Linked DNA regions of Schizosaccharomyces pombe. Changing the gene in region 1 together with any one later gene gives a genetic interaction. Each region holds a gene or a part of one and is shown on either strand. Other genes may lie near its edges.

What was found.
Region 2: of oxs1 (region 1) and caf5, changing one suppresses a phenotype caused by changing the other (phenotypic suppression), as found in Schizosaccharomyces pombe (one study listed by BioGRID).
Region 3: of oxs1 (region 1) and SPOM_SPCC663.08C, changing one suppresses a phenotype caused by changing the other (phenotypic suppression), as found in Schizosaccharomyces pombe (one study listed by BioGRID).

Annotation. Positions count from the first base shown.
Region 1 is NC_003423.3:2,564,388-2,567,853, forward strand, and holds oxs1 (oxidative stress transcription coactivator/ribosome recycling protein Oxs1), read left to right. Parts: upstream 1-2,046; coding exon 2,047-2,580; intron 2,581-2,688; coding exon 2,689-2,778; 3' UTR 2,779-2,966; downstream 2,967-3,466. Other genes in the region: guanyl-nucleotide exchange factor Muk1, read right to left, coding at 1-361, 410-795; atp7 (F0-ATPase subunit D), read left to right, coding at 3,314-3,466.
Region 2 is NC_003423.3:3,164,877-3,168,635, forward strand, and holds caf5 (plasma membrane spermine family transmembrane transporter Caf5), read left to right. Parts: upstream 1-1,704; 5' UTR 1,705-1,803; coding exon 1,804-3,399; 3' UTR 3,400-3,609; downstream 3,610-3,759. Other genes in the region: iqw1 (WD repeat-containing protein), read left to right, coding at 1-766, 818-908.
Region 3 is NC_003421.2:1,647,092-1,650,850, forward strand, and holds SPOM_SPCC663.08C (short chain dehydrogenase ), read right to left. Parts: upstream 1,728-3,759; 5' UTR 1,671-1,727; coding exon 909-1,670; 3' UTR 598-908; downstream 1-597. Other genes in the region: SPOM_SPCC663.09C (dehydrogenase), read right to left, coding at 2,437-3,198.

The DNA.
Region 1 (3,466 bases):
ATCTGCATTTCGAAAGCGTAACACAAAATTCAGGTGCGATATTAAATGAAATCCGGGATAACAGAGAATGCAATATATGGTCAAATTTAATAAAGAATCAGCATTCAATTCTTCTTGAGGAAGTTGAGAGGCATTCAATATACTTGAATTAACGGTCATAAAAGTGTTTATTTTCGATCTAGGTGTGTGTTGCTCATCGAGAGCAAAAAATGCTTCAGAGACTTCATGTAACCGGTTTGTAAGTTTTTCATCATCAGGTATTGGAATGCAATTGATAAGTTCTTTCTTTTCTTCAGAAGCAATAAATTTTTTTAACAAGTCATCTTTGGCAGCATCCGTACTTGTAGATAAACAGAAAATCCTAACACAATATTAGTAAACAGTTATTGTAGGCGAAGTAATCACATACCGATCATACAAATATTCGCAAACTATATCTTCAATTTGGTCCATCCATTCATCTTTTTGGTTCAGCAAGTGTTGTCTCGCCTTTTTCTGAGCATCTATTTCCTCAGGAAACAAAAGAGGCACATTTTGATCTTTTGAAGAGGGTTGAGGGATAAGGGTTGAAGCAATAAACTCATCGGTATGCTTGTAAAAGTTTTGAAATGCTTTTGCTAGTTCTTCAGGCGAAAGCAATTGAGGGTGAACCGGACTAACTAGAGAAGAGATAAACTGTATCACACATGCTTGTACAGTAGTTGGAAGATTTGATGCAGAATTTGGGAGTTTGATGTCTTCTTCCTTAGGCTTATTTGTATATTTAACAGCTCTCCAAGAATTCAGAAAGCTCATCGAAAGGAACTTTTACGAAAGGTGATCAAAAAGTTTAATTTTCAAAAATAAAATTAAACGAAAAAAAATTCTATATATACATGTAACTAAGAATATGTTAGCATAGGGTCTAATTCAAATTTTCAAATTTATATCAGATAGGATAAACAGCAATCGAAGGAACCGAGTACGAAGTATTCGTTGAGAGTCAAAAATATAACAATATATCCCTAATAGAAAATATACATCGTTTTAAAGCTATAAATGCTAGCAATTCCTTCTTTACCTTTGTCGTATGACAAGTTTTCAAGTAATTGTCAAAATATAGAGACACGAATTAAAAAAATAAGAACGTTGATTAAGAACTTGATATAAAATGAAATAATAATCAGAGGTAATGCTTACTTGACTTTAACTTATAAACCCTTCAAAATAGAGGAACAGTGCTGGTAGAACCAAAATTGATATGCATTCATGTTTCGGCATAATAATAGCGTATACTCGTTAAGAAACCGTATACTGTAAATGTAAATAATAGGATGAGTAAATTTAAGTGCTAAAAAAAATAATTTAGAATTATAGATTCATTAATTCCTTTAACAATTAAGATGATCGGAATGTTAGTTTGTACGTTATTTGTATCGAAGATGAAGTTTAATACTTATATAGATTACAATAAACTAATCAATACTTGAAAGCAATTGTTCACTGTACGATATTGTTGAATAATTTGGCAAGAATAAGCATTTAATTTGATGATATATTTTACTTTTTCAAACTTCATGAAATACACATCGAAGTCCATAACAATTGTCATGATATAATATTGTAATTGAAGAGTATGATCAATTTACATCGGTTGACTTTGTTTCTCTTTTTAATGAGTTATCACTGTTAAGAATGCCATCATGTCATAAAAAGGATTTATGGTGTATTATGCAGTGTCTATACCATTCAATATACCCTTAGCCTGCATCAAGGCATTTAAGGAAATAAATAGTAGCAGATTTCCAATTAAGAACTTTTATTTTCTATTTTAGTGATAAAAATTCAGTTACATACCAACGTTTGACGCCGTTTGTTCAGTGTTATCAATACACCTTTGTAAATACACTGATAAAAATAGGGAGATATAACGAGACATTCACTTATAAAAATTATCAGATCAGATTATTAATCCATCCTTCGTCGCCTTTCTTATAACGAGGCGGCATATAGAAATCACCTGTTGTTCAAGTCATTCAAATCTCACATACCATTAATAGCCTTGATATGGGGAATCCAAAAAAGAGAGCAGAAAAGGCCGAAGCGGCAAAATCTAGAAAACAAGACGAGGAAAAGAAAAAAAAAGACGCTGAAGAAGACGAAAAATGGTCCAAGGGCGTCAAAACTAATAAAAAGGAGCAAGAAGCTGAAAAACGAAAAGCTGCGTTGGAGAGGAAAGCTGAACGTGAACGTTTAGAAAAAGAAGAAATGGAGAGTCTTCCATCTAAAGGAGGAAAGGGGTCAAAGAAGGCTGCAAAGAAGAATTCATCTTTAGACGCTTTCCTCAACGAAACCCCTCAGACAGCTTCATATAGTGCCCGCAATATTGATGATGCTTTGGATTTGTTAAGTTTAAACAATTCATCGTCCAAAGATAAAATTGATCGTCATCCTGAACGTCGGTTTAAAGCAGCTTTGACAGAATACAAACAATCTCGTTTGCCTGAACTACGCAAAGAACAACCGGGCCTCCGTTTAAACCAATATGAAGACATAATGTATAAAGAATTTCAGAAACATCCGGACAATCCTTTCAATAAGGTAAGAAGCGATAAGGGTACATGCATACTCTTTTTGATGATGACCATATCATGTATAAACCCTAAACAGGAAAACCATTGTAAATATCATTTTTACTAACAATTTCAGATGAATGTGAGCTATAACACTAGTCAAGATGAGGTTGAACAGCTTCGTAAAGCTCGTAAAGCAGAATTGGAAGCACGTTTACGCGAGTAACTATAGTTATGGCAATATGTTTAGAACTTTTCTTTTTCCTTTTTACTATGGTAATTCTTTTATATTATTTATAAATTATCAATAAACCAATTACTAAATAATTTTTCTCGACATTCAAAAATGAAATCTTAAATTAAACATGAGAAGTACAAAGTGATTTGGTGATACACCGGTAAATCAAAATTTACAGCTAACTTTGAATTTCTATTAGCACAAGAATGAGTGGAGCGTATACTAATTGTAGGGCACAAGTTCTATTCTAACCGCTTAATTTTTTTTTTTGTAGTAATTTTGTACTTGTTGCTTTCATTTACCCAATTATATGATATTTTTTGAACCATTAAGGAAGCCTACTGCTGAAAGCCAAACCACCTGGCAATATGGCTCTGGCAATGCTAAATCATCCGTTCCCCAACTACCCCCATCTCTTCAACACATAACCAAAAGCAGGAAATATTTATAAGACAGTTAAATTGTTTAACAATATAACTGTTATTTTATTGAATTTTGAATTTTTTCTTCTTTATTTACGCAAATGTCGAAAGTTGCTAGCGCTGCTGGAAAGGCGATTGATTGGGCTAGTGTAGCTAGCAAGCTGAAGCTTGATGCCGCAACTGCTTCTGCTATTGCTAATTTTCGCTCTCGTCATGCTCAGGCAGTTGCCAAATTGGGTACATTGCGAGAGCAG
Region 2 (3,759 bases), 600 kb from region 1:
CTTCTGTAAGGCGGTTTTTTTGGATACATAAAGTTTTACGCGGTTGTCTTCTTCTTATATCCTCCGATATCTACTGGGAGCAATTTCAGCCTTGGGACAGCAGTACTTCTGACGTTACTTCCAGCCAAAGACTTGATGATGAAAACGGGTTCTTGACATTGTTGGAACCGCCAGTGAACTATGAAAATGAAGTTGAAAGTAGTTCGGGAGAAAATATTGTCAGTATGTATACTGGGCATTCTGATCTCAATGATGACGATGATGATTACCAGGATGAGGAAAGTTACTCCTATGCTAGTGATGATGATGATGAAAGTGATGAGGATTCGGATGAAGGTCCGACTTTGTTGTCTTTAAGAATGAAGAAGCGGAAAGCAGTGGAACCAAATGTGCCGGTGAACACACATGTTAAAAGTTATTATGGTCACTGCAACGTAGAGTCTATTAAAAATGTTAATTTCTATGGTCAAAATGATGAATATGTCATGAGTGGTTCTGACGATGGCAGGTTTTTTATTTGGGATAAGTTAAATGCTTCCATTCTTGCAATTATCCATGGCGATAGTGAAGCTGTTAACGTTATAGAAGGGCATCCCCGTTGTCCCACGCTTGCTGTGTCCGGTATTGATTCCACCGTGAAGATATTCAATACTGAGAACACTCCACCATCAGGTTGTTCAAGGAACCATACTTCCAATAGTTACAAAATAATTGCTACCAATGAAATGAATAGGCAGCAGGGGTCGCGAGATTCCTACATAACGAGGTTTGTTGAATACTTCTAATTTGCTCATGTAAATACTAACCGTTCTTCTAGTCGTATGTTGTCACATCTTGCATATCGTGCACATTTGGATGATGGGTTTGGACACGAAGTGCTCGATACCGATGCTTGTAGTATTATGTAACTGAGGAAGTTTTTTTTGAAGCTCACATTTTCTCTATTAAAACTATTTATGATTAATGATTAGACATTTTCAAGTAAACTTAATGTTGTGAAATAACTATATGATTTTACTTTTTGGGATAAAGTTGGGAATTTAAGCGAAGTAGTTAAAAGCAAGACAATTTCGGCATATTCATTTGGACAAATATTAAGTGCGTATGACTGCAGATGTTTAATAGTCATTTTTTATATAAGCTTTTCTTTAAAAGTAAAATATTAAATTTTAATTTTCTTGAAACATCGTCTTCAAAGGAAAACGGCAAGCATAGCAATCCCTCTTATTTTCTGTCTTCCGTCGATCGTCTACCTACTTAATCATAGTTTGAAGTTAAAATTGTTTTTAACGACATCATTTTTTTAAGTAACTGTTGTATTCGCATTACTCTGAAAAGAATTAATTCATACTTAGTTTTGATTAGTCATATAGTTCTGTTTTTACTTTTTAATTTCGCTTTCTTTTGCTGACAAAAATTAAGGCAGAATTTTTTACGCGAGATGACGATCGACTGATGTACGTTAGAAATGTTTGTTGTAACTTCCAATCTTAATTTTTTTTTTGTTTACATAAGCAACAAGATGATTTTGCACTTTTAATACTGCTTACTGAAACGACTTAGAATACGATGGATAATTGAAAGAAGGAATCTCACATAATTGACTAATCAATCAATATATGCTTACTTTACACTTAGTAAACATTCACGTTGATTAGGTAAGGCACGAAGGGTATATTAGGAGAAGAATGTAGCCAGACAATTGTACCAGCAAGTGTGGGCAAATAATCTGTCAAGTTTTTAATAAAGTTAACCGAGACCAAAAAATAGAACTAACTTTGGTTTTTACATACGGTCATTTAAATGGGATTTTTAAGGGAAACCGTTTTCGGCGAATTGGTCGAATACGTTTCTCACAACTCCAATGACAACGACTTAGAGAAACTGAGAGTATGGAAAGACATTAGCAAAGTAGATTCCAATGACTCATGCAGCTCGGAATCCGGCGATCTGAAGATTCATGAAGTTAATTCAGAGGGACACATTATTGTGCGATGGGATGATGCCAACGATCCCGAAAATCCCCTAAATTGGCCTTTGTGGGCAAAGCTTGTGGTGACTTTTGATATTTGCTTCTTAACGTTTGCGGTTTATGTGGGATCAGCAATTTTTACTCCAGGTATATCAGAAATGCAAGAAACGATGCACGTAGGAACTGTTCCCGTAGTTTTGGGATTGACTCTTTTTGTACTTGGCTATGCCATCGGTCCCCTAATTTTGTCTCCACTCTCGGAGATTCCACAAGTTGGTCGCCAAAAGATTTATGTTCTTTCTCTCCTTGTATTTGTGTGTTTACAGATTCCCACCGCACTGGGATCTAGCTTGGGCGTCTTATTACCAATGAGGTTTTTGGCCGGTTTCTTCGGCTCGCCAGCTCTAGCGACTGGAGGTGCTACTTTGGCAGATATTTGGCAACCATGGCTTCTTCCCTACTTTATGTGTTTTTGGGCAATTGGAGCCATCGGTGGTCCAGTTTTGGGACCGTTGCTTGGTGGAGCGATGGTCGTTGCTGAATCTTGGAGATGGCAATTTTGGCTTTTGATGATGATTTCTGGCTTTGCATTGATTGTTATCTTCTTTTTTATGCCAGAGACTTCTGAATGGCATATATTATATAAGAGGGCAAAGAGGTTCCGTAAGATAACTGGAAACGAAAATTATAGAACAGAGGCCGAATTGGCATCTTCCCATTTAAGTGTTGCTCAGCTTGCAAAGGAAACCATAATTCGTCCGATAATACTAAGTATTTCGGAGCCGATAGTATTGTCTTTAAATATATATATTGGGCTAATCTATTCAATTTTATATCTGTGGTTCGAAGCTTTCCCAATCCTTTTTACTAGCGTTTACCATTTTACCATTATTGAAAATGGCTTGGTTTACTTAGGTATTCTCGTGGGTGCCTTGATTACTTTAGCCTGCTATTTCGTATTCCTGTATAAAGTGATGATCCCAGCATTCATGGCCAGTGGTGGTGATTTTGCTCCGGAAGGAGTTTTGGTCATTTCATTTCCAGCAACGTTCTTTATTCCCATTTGCCTTTTCTGGTTTGGCTGGTCGGGAAGAGAATCGGTCCATTGGATTGTACCAATCGTCAGTACGCTCTTTTACGCATCTGGGGCCTTTTTAATGTTTCAAAGTATGTTTCAGTATTTGGCTGCTTCATACCCAAAGTACGTTGCATCTGTGTTTGCTGGAAACGACCTATTTCGTTCGGCTATGGCTGCATCATTCCCATTGTTTGCCCGAGCTATGTTTAATAATACAGGCCCTTCCTATGCTCCAGTTGCCTGGGGAAGTACTATCCTTGGTATAGTTGCTTGCTTAATGATTCCTATTCCTTTCGTGCTACATAAATGGGGTCTGAAACTGAGAAGCCGTTCAAAATATGCTTCTTAATTCCACTGTTGTTGAGATCATTTAATTATTTCCGGATTTGTCCGCGCGTTATCAAGATGTATATGATGAAGGCTATACTCCCTTGTTCAAAGATAAGTGTAATGGACACTTCTCTTTCAATTTTTATAGAGTTTTATGAAATTTAATGGTGTTATTTTGTGTCGCTAATTGAGGTATTGATTGATATTATATTATCTATCAGTTTAGAACGTTTCTAGACTTGAACTTGTAATTGTCTATTTAAATAAAATTTGGTATACAAAATTCACGTTCAATCTTAAATTTATTTTTTTTATAAAACAGAAAAGGTACTACAAGGCCAATAAACGAATGAAGTTGTGGTTGTATTGTATTTATTCT
Region 3 (3,759 bases), on another chromosome or scaffold:
GTTTCTAATACAGAGGAATAAGAGTGATAGATTGCTGAATTTAGCCAGAGAACGTCGACTTTACCCACGATTTTTTCAACCTGCTTGGCGGCATCCTTTTCACTCTCTAGAGAAGTGACATCCAACTTAATAATATGCACATTGGAATGAGACTTGCTCAACTCTTGTAATTCAGTAGCAGCTTCGGGTTTGCGAGCACTCGCAAACACAGTCGTTCCTTCTCTATTGCTTAACTCTTTAACAAGAGAGAGTCCAATACCACGATTCCCGCCTGCGATAAAGAAAATCTTGTCAGCCGAAGACATATTCTATTTTTTGAAGTACTCAGAAAATTCCAAAATTCACGAAAAGACTGAACCCTTAAAGGCTGTTCAGCTATTAACACATTTGATGTTGTTACGTCACTTCAGTCGCATATTTATTGCCTTAAAAGGTCGTCAAAAAGTAGTGAATGTATGGAAACATTGTCGTTAACCGTAAGCTACATTAAAGCATTGCAGTTCATGCCTTCATAGCTATTCAATTATTTACCAGACGTCGCTGTAATTTTGGCTGATAACATTGCCACTGTGGTTAAAAAATGGAAGAATTCGTTTTCCAGCTTTGGTGGTGGTAGGAGTAATTATCTACGATTTATAAAAGGTAGCTTCGAGTTTGAGGTTGAACAAAGTTTTTCTTTATATATTATTAAAATGCAGGCTACTCGTAAACAACTAGTCTCAAAAGACAAAACGAGTGGTTTTACTAGCTTTCCAAAACTGTAATAGTACATGACTGATTGAAGGGTACAACAATTTTTTCTTTTGATCTATGGTCATTTGTTCGTGTATATAGAATTGTAGAAGTTGATCATTTTTTTCCAAATCCTTTATTCTGGCATCGTTGCATAAGTACAAAAAAGAATATGTCTAAAAAGGAATGATGGTACCATCATAGTTGTAAAAAAGTCCATTATTTTCGGGCTTCAAATTGTCTACAACTTTCAACATATCTGAAGCGCTTTTCTCGGGTGTTAAGGCCTGCTTTGCAAAGAGATCCAAAATTTCCGGTTTCTTTTCAGCATGCTGATTTACAATTTCTTGAGCTGAATCGGTTCGGACAGCTCCGGGGTGAATTGAAATCACTATGAATCCTTCATCTTGTAGCTCAAAACTAATTTCCTTCATCGTATAATTTAAGGCAGCCTTAGATTGGCCATAAGCAGATTGACTTGAAGGGAAGAAAGCTCCCATGGATCCAGCTAATGATGAAGTAAAAACAATGATTTTAGATCTTCCTTTTTTTATAAGAGGATAAAAGGCTTGGTAGACATGAATTGGTCCTAAAACATTGGTTTTATAGTGAGAGTTCCAGACATCATCAGGAGTATTTACGACAGGACCAAAAGAATGGAAAACGGCTGAATTTACCCAGAGAACATCCACTGCATCAACTACTTTTGTAACTTCTTGAGCGGCTTCATTGGCACTCTCTAGAGAGGAGACATCTAACTTAATAATGTGCACATTGGAATGAGACTTGCTCCATTCTTGTAATTTAGTAGCAGCTCCAGGCTTGCGGGCACTTGCAAATACAACTGTTCCTTTTCTGTTGCTCAATTCCTTAACAAGAGAGAGTCCAATGCCTCGATTTCCTCCTGCAATAAAGTAAATTTTGTTGGTAGTAGACATATTCTAACACAATGTTTGAATGATCCTTGAATCCGTTTGAAAAGTGGATAATTTGGTGTCGGCAATTTATCATCAACTTCATGCTTATATACCAATTCTTCAAATCATTATGCTTACGTGATTTGAACCGTGAATTTTGATGCTTACATAATTGAATATACTCAGCGACAAGTTCATAAAAATTCATCGTATAGAACTTATTGTACTTTGTATTAGAAGACAATATAAATACATTTACAACCTATTTAGACGGTTTTTTAAACATATTCCCTTAATTCCGCTTTAATAAATTAATCAATTTCAGTTAAATTATTCTTCTGTTTCTGGTTTCTTTGACAAAGCATCATATAGATGATATGTATTTGAAGTTACTCACATGAGAATGCTGAGTTGCCAGTCGTATAGAAAAGCTTTAAATTGGGTACAAACAAACGACTCTTTAAATTGCTCCACCAAAAAATAAATTTATAAAAAAACAAGATAGCCGTAAGATGATCGATCACTCGGGAGTCATTTTTTGGACGATAAGCCTTATACGAATGAATACTCAAATTTGTTACATGAAACACATCTTTTAGATGTCCATGCTCACTAAATAGTTATGTTAAGCTTTTTTAAAGTTCTGAAGGCTTGTAAATATTTGTAAGGGCATGTAAATTCAACAAAAAAGAACGATTGTTTGAACACAACATCGTGCTGTAATCTAGACTGCAAAAACATCTTTAAAAAGGGGCATCAAAACCATCATGACTAACAAAAGATATGTCTAAAAGGGAATAATGGTCCCGTCATATCTATAAAAAGACCCGTTGTTTTCGGGTTTCAAATTGTCAACCACCTTAAGCATGGATGAAACGCTTTCTTCGGGTATGATAGTAACCTTTTTTAAGTAAGTCAGCATCTCGGGAGATGTTTCAGTAAATTTTTTGATAGCATCAGCATTCATATCAGTCTTTACTACTCCAGGATGAATGGAAATGAATGTGAAGTGTTCATCAGCTAGTTCGACACTAAGTTCCTTCATAGTGAAATTGATTGCTGCCTTGGACTGACCGTAGGCAGAGAATCCAGTAGCACGAAAGTCGCCCATTGAGCCGCATTCACTGGAAGTAAAGATAACCTGTCTGGTTTTTTTCTTTGTCAACAACGGATAAAAAGCTTTGAACACATGGATAGGTCCTAAAACATTGGTTTGATAATGAGCATTCCAAACTTCTTCAGGTGCTTCCATAACTGTATAGTAAGATTGACAAATACCAGAGTTCAACCAAAGAACATCAATTCCATCGACCGCCTTCGCAACGCTTTGAGCAGCTTCATTGGCACTCTGCTGAGATGTGACATCTAATTCAACAGTTTTAACATTAGGATGAGATTTGCTCCATTCTTGTAATTCAGTAGCAGCTTCGGGTTTGCGAGCACTCGCAAACACAGTCGTTCCTTCTCTACTGCTTAACTCTTTGACAAGAGAGAGTCCAATACCACGATTTCCTCCTGCAATAAAGTAAACTTTGTTGGTAGTAGCCATCTTTATAGTACAATCTCAAAGTCGTTTCTCAATTAGTTTTTGGTTAATAGTAACTGACACTTCCTTGGTGTTTTGCTGTACTTTTATTGATAAGGAGTGTTTGTTCGCTATTTCGTTTACGTGTGAAGAGCTGTGACATTTTGCACACGTTTGATTTTCTCAACCAAAAGCGTCAAATTTCATTCTACAAAATTCTATCGGTATTTGCTGCTTGATATTAACAGTCTTTTTATATGGGACTTGCATAAAATAAAAAAAGTAGAAGCCGTGTTAATTAATGAAATCGAAAATTTTGATTGTAGAGCGTAGTAAAGGATGAAAAAATTTTAAGAACTACTTTTCCTCGTTTTTGAAATCTTCCGGTAGAAAGAACTTGTCAGATTATAATAAAACAACTACAGAATCTATCTCATACATACATCGAAGCTGCAATTTTTTCTCAGGTTACTGGTTCACCTCTTAGGTCAATTTGCTCTACCAATTTAAACCCTCTGTAAGATAATATTTTTGTTGAGGAGAAAGAGAGAATCGTATATAGAGTGTCTTAGTAAGATTATATGA